Linked DNA regions of Oryzias latipes. The protein of the gene in region 1 purifies or fractionates together with the protein of each later gene. This does not show direct contact. Links are inferred from orthologs where the notes say so. Each region holds a gene or a part of one and is shown on either strand. Other genes may lie near its edges. The genes, in order: obsl1 and calcium/calmodulin-dependent protein kinase kinase 2.

The links.
Region 2: the proteins of obsl1 (region 1) and calcium/calmodulin-dependent protein kinase kinase 2 purify together in Homo sapiens (affinity purification with mass spectrometry; 4 studies listed by BioGRID and IntAct, with this or other methods). This does not show direct contact. The link is inferred for Oryzias latipes from reciprocal best matches to the Homo sapiens genes OBSL1 and CAMKK2.

The regions. Positions count from the first base shown.
Region 1 is NC_019860.2:13,810,686-13,814,503, reverse strand, and holds part of obsl1 (obscurin-like protein 1), read right to left. Parts: coding exon 3,729-3,818; intron 2,947-3,728; coding exon 2,832-2,946; intron 2,719-2,831; coding exon 2,558-2,718; intron 2,485-2,557; coding exon 2,212-2,484; intron 2,128-2,211; coding exon 1,852-2,127; intron 1,766-1,851; coding exon 1,490-1,765; intron 1,418-1,489; coding exon 1,142-1,417; intron 1,069-1,141; coding exon 793-1,068; intron 708-792; coding exon 438-707; intron 368-437; coding exon 101-367; intron 26-100; coding exon 1-25. UniProt on the Homo sapiens protein: Core component of the 3M complex, a complex required to regulate microtubule dynamics and genome integrity. It is unclear how the 3M complex regulates microtubules, it could act by controlling the level of a microtubule stabilizer.
Region 2 is NC_019870.2:16,125,067-16,129,565, reverse strand, and holds the start of calcium/calmodulin-dependent protein kinase kinase 2, read left to right. Parts: upstream 1-1,498; 5' UTR 1,499-1,829; intron 1,830-4,499. Other genes in the region: snrpd3 (small nuclear ribonucleoprotein Sm D3), read left to right, coding at 374-566, 700-764. UniProt on the Homo sapiens protein: Calcium/calmodulin-dependent protein kinase belonging to a proposed calcium-triggered signaling cascade involved in a number of cellular processes. Isoform 1, isoform 2 and isoform 3 phosphorylate CAMK1 and CAMK4. Isoform 3 phosphorylates CAMK1D.

The DNA.
Region 1 (3,818 bases):
GTGAGAAACTCAACCACCCGAGGTGCTAAAGTGACAAAAGAAATTTCGTGAAACCCTTACTTTATATGAATAAACAAAATCCTATTAGAATATTACTCACTTTTAACTGTCAGTACTGCAGAGGTCCGGTCATCTCTGGACTCACAGGTATACTCGCCCGCGTCCTCTCGGGTTAGACGGTGGATGGTCAAACTTCTTTCAACCCCATCTGCCCGGATGGAGAACCTCCTGCTTGGCACCACTTCCTCACCATTTCTTAGCCATTGCACATCCGCTTTTGGTTTGCACACCTCACATCGTAGGGTCACCATGCCATCGGCGTGAGCCACAGTGTCTCGCAGCGGCCTTAGAAACTTGATTCTCATTTCTCCAACACAAAAGGGGGGAATTTAAATCTTACATTTTCCATCACTTATGTTGGATAACATAATTTTTACCTTTGACCAGCAGACTAAAGTGGAGTTGGTCGGTGTTGGCATCACACGTGTATTCTCCGGCATCAGAGCGTCTCAAGGGCTCAATGGTGAGAGTGCGTTGATGACCCTCCGTGAGAGCACAAAATCGCTCGCCCTCGACAGGTGTCCAATCTTTAAGCCAACGTACGTGAGCAGTCTCCTTGGACACGTAGCTTGTCAAGGTCACACTCTCTGCTTCGTAACCTGTCACGACATTATCCTCCTCCTTGTTTACAAATGTTACGGGAGGCTCTTAAACAAAAAAGACGAAATCAATTTCAAGTGACTTCATGCTTCTTTTGTCTAGAGCTTAGAGACCCACTCTTGAGTTTGGTACCTTGAATCCTGACCGTGCAGATCATCTTATCGTCAATGGCATCGCAAATATACTTTCCAGAGTCTGACGGTTGGATGCAGGAGATAATAATTTTTCTCACCGCTCCGTAGCTTTCAATGGATGTGCGGGAATCACAGATGAGCAGTTTGTCATTACAGTACCAGCTAACAGGGGCACTGGCTCGGGACACTTCACAGGCGAGTATAAGGTCATCCCCTGCCACCATCTCCTGGTGATCAGGGTCATATGAGTTTCCTACAATGGTCACGGGTGGCTCTACGAGAAGAAGAGTTATTGGAGCTATAGTAGTTTTGTTTTAAGAAATTTCCTCAAACAGCTGAGTCGTCACCTTTTACTGAAACCTGGAAACCGATACTGTCGTCTCCAACATCCAAGAGGTATTTCCCCGAATCAGTGAGTTCAGCATTGAGGATGACAAGTGAGCGGAACGCTCCTTCTTCTTCCTCACAGAACCTTTCATCCCCCTCTATACGAACACCATCCTTGTACCACTTGGCTTTAGCGTTTTCCCTGGAGAGCTCACACTCTAGGACAATATCATCTGAAACCAAAAACTCCAGGTTTGTGTTGATCTCCGACTTTCTTAAGATCAACACAGGTGGCTCTGAGGAAGAAATAGATCAAAGTCTCAAAACTGTTCATTGACCAGGGAAAATATTTGCAAGGACATCCTTACCTAAAACTTTAACTTGGAAGTCAATTTTATCATCGGTTGTGTAGCAGGTATATTTCCCAGAATCTTCTGGAGTAGGCGAGTGAATGGTTAGTCGACGGATGAACTCATCTTCCGTTATGGTGACGTTACTGCTTTGCTTTACTTCTTTACCATCAAGCCACCATTTGACTTCTGCTGTTGGCCGCGACACTTCAATCTCCAAAACAATTGGTTTACCTGCTGCCCTAACCAGTTTTTCCGGTATGTTTTTGGGTCGAGAAAGTGTGACTGGCAGCTCTAGATTAAAAAAAAAGTTTTTAGAAATTAAATGTAAGGAAAAAACTTTTTGTCTTGTTTTAAATTTGAAAAATCCCTTATTTCACCTGTAACAGTCACCAAGAAGACCGTAGAGTCGTCTTCAGTGTCACAAACATACTCTCCTGTATCCTCCACTGTCGCTAAGGGTATAACTAGTAGTCGTTTGGCTTCATCCACCTCCAGGATCAAGTTAGGACCTTCCTCTACTTCTAGATTGTCTTTGTACCACCTAACTGGGGCATCCACTTTGGAGATCTCACAGCATAGCTCCAGCCTCTCTGACGCCAAGTGTGTCACTTCTACTTCTGAATCGCTAGGAGAAATAATTCTTACAGGTGGTTCTGCAAGGCAAATTTCTAAAATTAAATTCAACACTAATCATTGAAACCTAGTTTAGCCATTCCTTACTTTGGCTTTACTTTTACCTGTCGCAGTAACCTGAAAGAAGACGGAGTCCCCATTGGTTTCACAGATGTACTCCCCGCTGTCCTCCTTACAGCTGCGCAGGATGGTCAGTTTTCTGTAGGGACCTTCTGACACCAGCTGGATTAAGTCATTATCCCGCACCTCCTCGCCATCCTTCAACCACCGCACCTTCCCATTGGAGCGAGATAACTCGCACTGCAAGTTTATCTCCTCTGGTATGTAGATCTTCATCACTACATCCTCTTTAGGTTCCACAATCATAACTGGAGGTTCTGGAAGATGAAAAATGTCTTTTGATTCCTACTCTGGATTGACAGTTAATAATGTGAATACAAGAGGCGATACCCTTGACATTGACGGTAAACACCACGTTGTTCTTTCCTGCCTGGCAGGTGTAGCACCCAGCATCTGAGCTTTCTGCAGAGCGAATAATTAGTCTCCTCATGGTTCCTTCCACCTGGAGAGTTATGTTGTCACTTGGTTGGACCTCCTGACCGTTTTTATGCCTAAAGCAATCCATTCAGGGGTTTTTGTTGTTGTTGTTGTTTTCTATATGTAAAGTTTTCTGAACATTTTCTACCTTCTACTGTCATCTAGACTGCAGGAACGTCTTGCTTACCATTTGACTTCAGCATCCTCTCTGGAGACATGGCACAGCAGCACCACGGGGTCCAGCTCCATGCTGCTCTTAATGAGCTCCTCCTCCTGCACTGGAGTAAATTCTACAGGGGGACCTGAAGAAATACAGGAGGAAGCTACCAAATACAAGGTACTACCTCAAATTGAAACTTTTCTATACTTCATTTGATTAAAGTTTATATATGAAGTTCCAAGACTCCACACAGTGACATTTTGTTGATATTTTTGAACAATTAACACTTTGATAAGATTTTTCACTTCAATTGAAGTCCCACTCCGATCATCTTTTGATCAATTGTAAAAGCGTGGTAATGCTGTTTTTTAAAAAAAAAAAGACTTTTGTCACAGTGTCTGCAGAACGGCAGTAGTTGATTAGAAATTTGACTCTGAGTGTGGGCAGGACCATCTGTACAGAGCAACCCTGCCGCCCTTCCCCTCCCCGTTGCTGGGAGCTCTCTGTTTACATGCTTTCCTGCTAGTTTACAGCGCGTTACAACCCTCAACGTGTCATCAGCGGTGCAAAAAAAAAAATGGCACATAGGAGCTACCCAGCTGTATAGTTTTGAGCCAGATGCCCGCTCAGATGAGGGAAAACACAGAGGAACATGGATTATTTGGAGAACATGGAGTATTTTCTATGTCACAAGTATGTTGTTTTTCAAACTGCATTTTTTTGTCAAATACACAGAAAAGCAATTCTAATCTTAATTTTATTTATATACTGTGTCTGTCATCAGAAAATGCCAAAAAAAAATTGAAAAACACATTTTATTTTTTATTTTGATCAGAGTGGGTCTTTTAAATCAACCAATAGGAGGAAAACATATTTAATTTAAGCTATGACACATGTTGCAATTTACCAAAAGTGTCTTCTTACCTGCAACGTCTACATTAAAAGTGATGACGTCCCCGGGCATTTGACAAGTGTAAACTCCAGAGTGTGACGCATTAGCAGACTGGATCACGA
Region 2 (4,499 bases), on another chromosome or scaffold:
AAAGTTTAATAGACTCCAAATCTGTTTATTTCATTTAAAAGCAGAAATTTTGGTGGATAAAGCTCAGTGTGTCTTAAAAGTACTCTAAAGATAAGTGTGAAGGCTTTAACAAAACGCTAAATATTCTAAAACGTATATTCTGTTAATAATTGTAGATTTCTTATTAATCAAATGACAAATCAAAAAGGTTGTTAGAAATTATTTTAAGGGATTAAATGAAGTATCTACAAATGTGTTTTCAAATAGAGAACTGCATTGCCAAGTTTAACAGATAACTTAAAATGTTAACCTGCATTCCATTGAACACTGTAAACGTGTATCAAGCCATTTTACGAATCTAAGACCGGAACCATTTATTTCTATGTCCCAACAGATGTCCAACATCACAGTAACCTATCGTGACGGGCGGGTTGCCCAGCTGGAACAAGTGTACATTCGTGGCAGCAAGATCCGCTTTCTGATCTTACCAGACATGTTAAAGAACGCTCCAATGTTAAAGAGTATGAAGAACAAGAACCAGGGTTCTGGAGCAGGAAGAGGCAAAGCGGCCATTCTGAAAGCACAAGGTGAGTGGTTCCTAACCAATGCTGATAAATGGTGTGTCCACTTTTCCTTATTCTTGGTACACCCTGCTTCCTGAATGCTGTTTTTTTTTTTTTTTTACTGAATTATTTCTGAATTTGTTGTCTCCCTTTGCAGTGGCTGCAAGAGGCAGAGGTCGTGGTGGAATGGGAAGAGGCAACATTTTCCAGAAGAGACGATAGCTTTTCCTTTTCAATGTTTTTATTTTTTCTCATGTCGTTTACTTGAATGACTTGTCTGTTATTTGCAATCTTGTCTTTGCAAGTTAGTTCTTGAATTTTTCTTTTTTTTTTAAACAAAAATAAAAGATGTTTCAAAATGTCTTAAATTAATATCCCTTTTGTCTTGTTTTTATTATTCCTGTACTTGTTTGACATGCTGACTATCTAATTTCTTTTTTATTTAAAAGCAGTACATTTTTCCGTTCAAGGTGCAAGTTAGATTTCTTGAGCAGAATTAGTTTTTAAACTTTTAAAAGTAAAGTAAATTTGGTAGTTTGAAAAAAAAAAACTAGCTTGCTGTTTGCATTTTAGAAATAACTGCAAAAGCTCAAATATATGAATAACGGAGGTAAAAATATTTGGCTTTGCAAATGTCAAATAACTTTTTTTAACTTTTGCATTAAAACGATTTTAAAAAGATTAGAAAGATGCTCTTTATAGCAGTTTTTTCCCTGTGTAAGGTTCAGAACCCTAAAAAAATCTTTGCCTTTAAAAATGTATCCCTAAACAATAACTAAAATAAAAAGCTTCATAAACTTGACCCCCAACCCCCCTTCATAATATCACAAATATAGCCCCAAAATATTTTTAATTCAATCAGTATCCATACGTTTTTTTTAATTCTCCATTTCCTGGAATTCTATTAACGCCAGCAAAAATTTTTTAGATAAAATGCAGATAAAATAGGAAATGTCTGTTTTACTTGACAACACAAGGGGGAGTGTTCCGGCTACCAAAGTATTAGTAGAAAAACCATGAAGTGAATTTTATGGAAGTGGCGAGATAAACGAAAGGGTGAAAAGGCGATTTCGAAAGCCTTAGTGGATTTTCAGTGGATATTCGGCTAAATCTGAAAACACTGTCGCCTTCCCTGGAGCTCAGGACCTGAGCGCTTCAGCTCGCTTCATCCATCATAACATCTGCTACGCCTCCTCAACAGCTAGCTAGCTCGCAGAAGCTAAACCTTAGCTGAGGAAAAAAGGCGTTTCAATATTCCGGCTTACGGGACAGAAATTCCACTTCAAGGTAAGATTTAAAACAAACCTTTTATTTTGTTGCTATGTTTTTTTTAAGTGTCAATGTTTTGTGGTAAACGTCAGAGTCGCGCCGTCTCCCTTGACGTGTCCAACATCTGTATTTTGACAGATCATGAAGCAGGTGCTAATGCTAGCGCAGCTGCTCCACTTAAAGTCTGCGACAGTTAGCTTACTAGTTCCCCAAAACAACAACACTCTGTTTACTTTCTGACAGAGAAAATACATATATAAATAATAAAATATGATTTTTAACAGGTAACCTAAATATAAATTTCCTGTTTGAGGTGTCATTAAGTAAAGATGTAAACATTGCTACTATTATAGCTAAGTAAAACTCGTTAAAGTCAACAGTTATTTATTAGGACTTTTTAGTACAAAACAATATTTTGGTGGATTTAAAGTTTAATATTTATCCACAATTACACAATTCTGTAGTGAAAAAAAAAACCAAACTGTAAGCTAAAATAGAATAATCTTTCCTGTTTCTATTATTTTTTATTTAATTAATGTGAAAATCCAATACATTGAATCTCAAAACATGTTTGTGGAGAAAAACCTGTTTAGGTAAACATGTCTTGAAACTTACACTGAAGAGATTTAAAAAAGTTATAGTTTCCTCAAATATATTTTTGAAAAGGTCTAAAGCTTTTTAATTAGGGTTAAACAAAACCTTATACGAGTATCACTTATATATATAATATATATATATATATAACTTCTCTTTGCTCTACACTTTTCCAAGTTTTTCTCAAAATTAGCACACGAGCAGAAAAAATAAAAATATTATTGAAATGACTCCCAACCGTTTGCTCCAACTCCATTTGCTGAGGTGAAAGGCAGCACTGTAATCGATGTTATTTTAAAGCTCAATAAATGTTGAAAAGTGAGACTGGCAATTACTGCCATTATTTTGGAAACCAAAATGTTGATTTCTAAATATAAGTGCTACTTAAACATTTTATGAGGATTTATTAAGATTGGCCAACTTGTTGTTCCAAGATGGTATTCGCACTTTGTTCATATTTTGTTTTAAAATGAGCCATTTCCACTTTTACTCTAGTTTTTTTTAACTACAATTAGGTTAATAAAAACCTTTAAAAAAAAACCTAAACCATGTGCTTATCTAGCAATAAAAAACATTATCGGGTTGTTTACGATTCAAGTTGAAGTAATTCCATCAAACAGCCTTTTTCAATGCTTGTGGGGAATTCATTGTTTCTAAATTCTGTTGTATATTTGATATATTGTTAAGTAAAACTTCCTTGGTGCATGGATAGATAATTTTACTACTTTCTGGGGATTTTCTTCTTAAGATTAGTGTTCTTCTCCTCCTTTTGCAGTGTGAGAGCTTTGCTTCCTAAACCCACATGTGCTCTCAGAATTACAGCCTTATTACTGCAGTGTTCTTTTAGTCTTCTTTTGGAAAAAACTGTGTAAAGGTTTAAAGGGAGCTGTGGGAAAATAAGTGTGAATTTTTTACAGACCTTTCTCATCTTTTTAAGTGGGAGTTTTTTGTAGGGTAAAGATTTGTTTGTATTTGCGTTACATCAATCGTTTATTTTAGATTTTACAGTAAGCCGGTTAGGCTAAATTTGGACAAACATGATTTTGTCAGACTAAATCTCACTGTAGATCAGTCATGGATATTCATAATATGGGCAATACAGAGTTCTTTTTTTTTCATCTTACTTATAACCAAATCAGAAAATGCAATTTCTGATGTAAATGAAAGTGTGTATTGCTGCATGACACAATCCTGAAGCGGATTCTACATGAAGAAATAATGGTGGTGCTTCAAAACAACCGATACGTGTTCAATAAACTGCTTTTTTAAAAGGGGTTCCTCACCCGCGTGGACAGTTCTTAAACATCCTCAATGTGCAGCACTGCACATGCATGTTTGAAAGTTCTGCAGTAATGAAATCAGCATGATTCTGTGTAACAGGATGTAGCACTCCTATATTAGGATGACACTGCTTTCCAGTTGTTGTTTTTTTGGAGGGAGTTATAAAGTGCTGGAAGCTCCAGGATGTCTAGGGAGCTGACCACAATCATCTGTGTCCATCTCAGTTGTAATGCATGAGGATTGGACGAGCAGAAGTGGATAAACTGCAAGCAGCAATGTGCTCAACATGAACATAAAATACATCGTTTTTTATTTTATTTTAAGTTATTCGATTCTAGTAATCACTCTGCATTATATATATATTGATTCAAAAACAGATCCTGTACTTATATATATATAAACAAGTTAAGTTCTGAAAAAAAAAAACATGTTCTTGTTTGAAAGCAAACAATTCATTAGTGACATAAATGTATGTATCTTTATTGTTCTGGCTGATCTGGAGGTGAAAGAATGGATGTTTTTCTATCCGCCTTGTGTGTGTGTGTTAATGCCTCAATTAAGTCAGGAGATGAAGGATGACAGTGACATCCATCCCTGCACTACCAGGAGCTTATCGCTCACTCAGCTCTGCAGACGCATTTGCCCCGTTGATCTTTGAATGAAACCAGGGATCCTCCTCTGTTCCAGATGGCATTGTATTGGTATGTCTGTAGGACTGAGTCATTGTTGCTATTATTTCCGTGTATTGGCCCCCACAGGCTCTAATATATCCTTCCTGTCAGTCCAGACTTAACAAAGGTTGGATCATGTGAT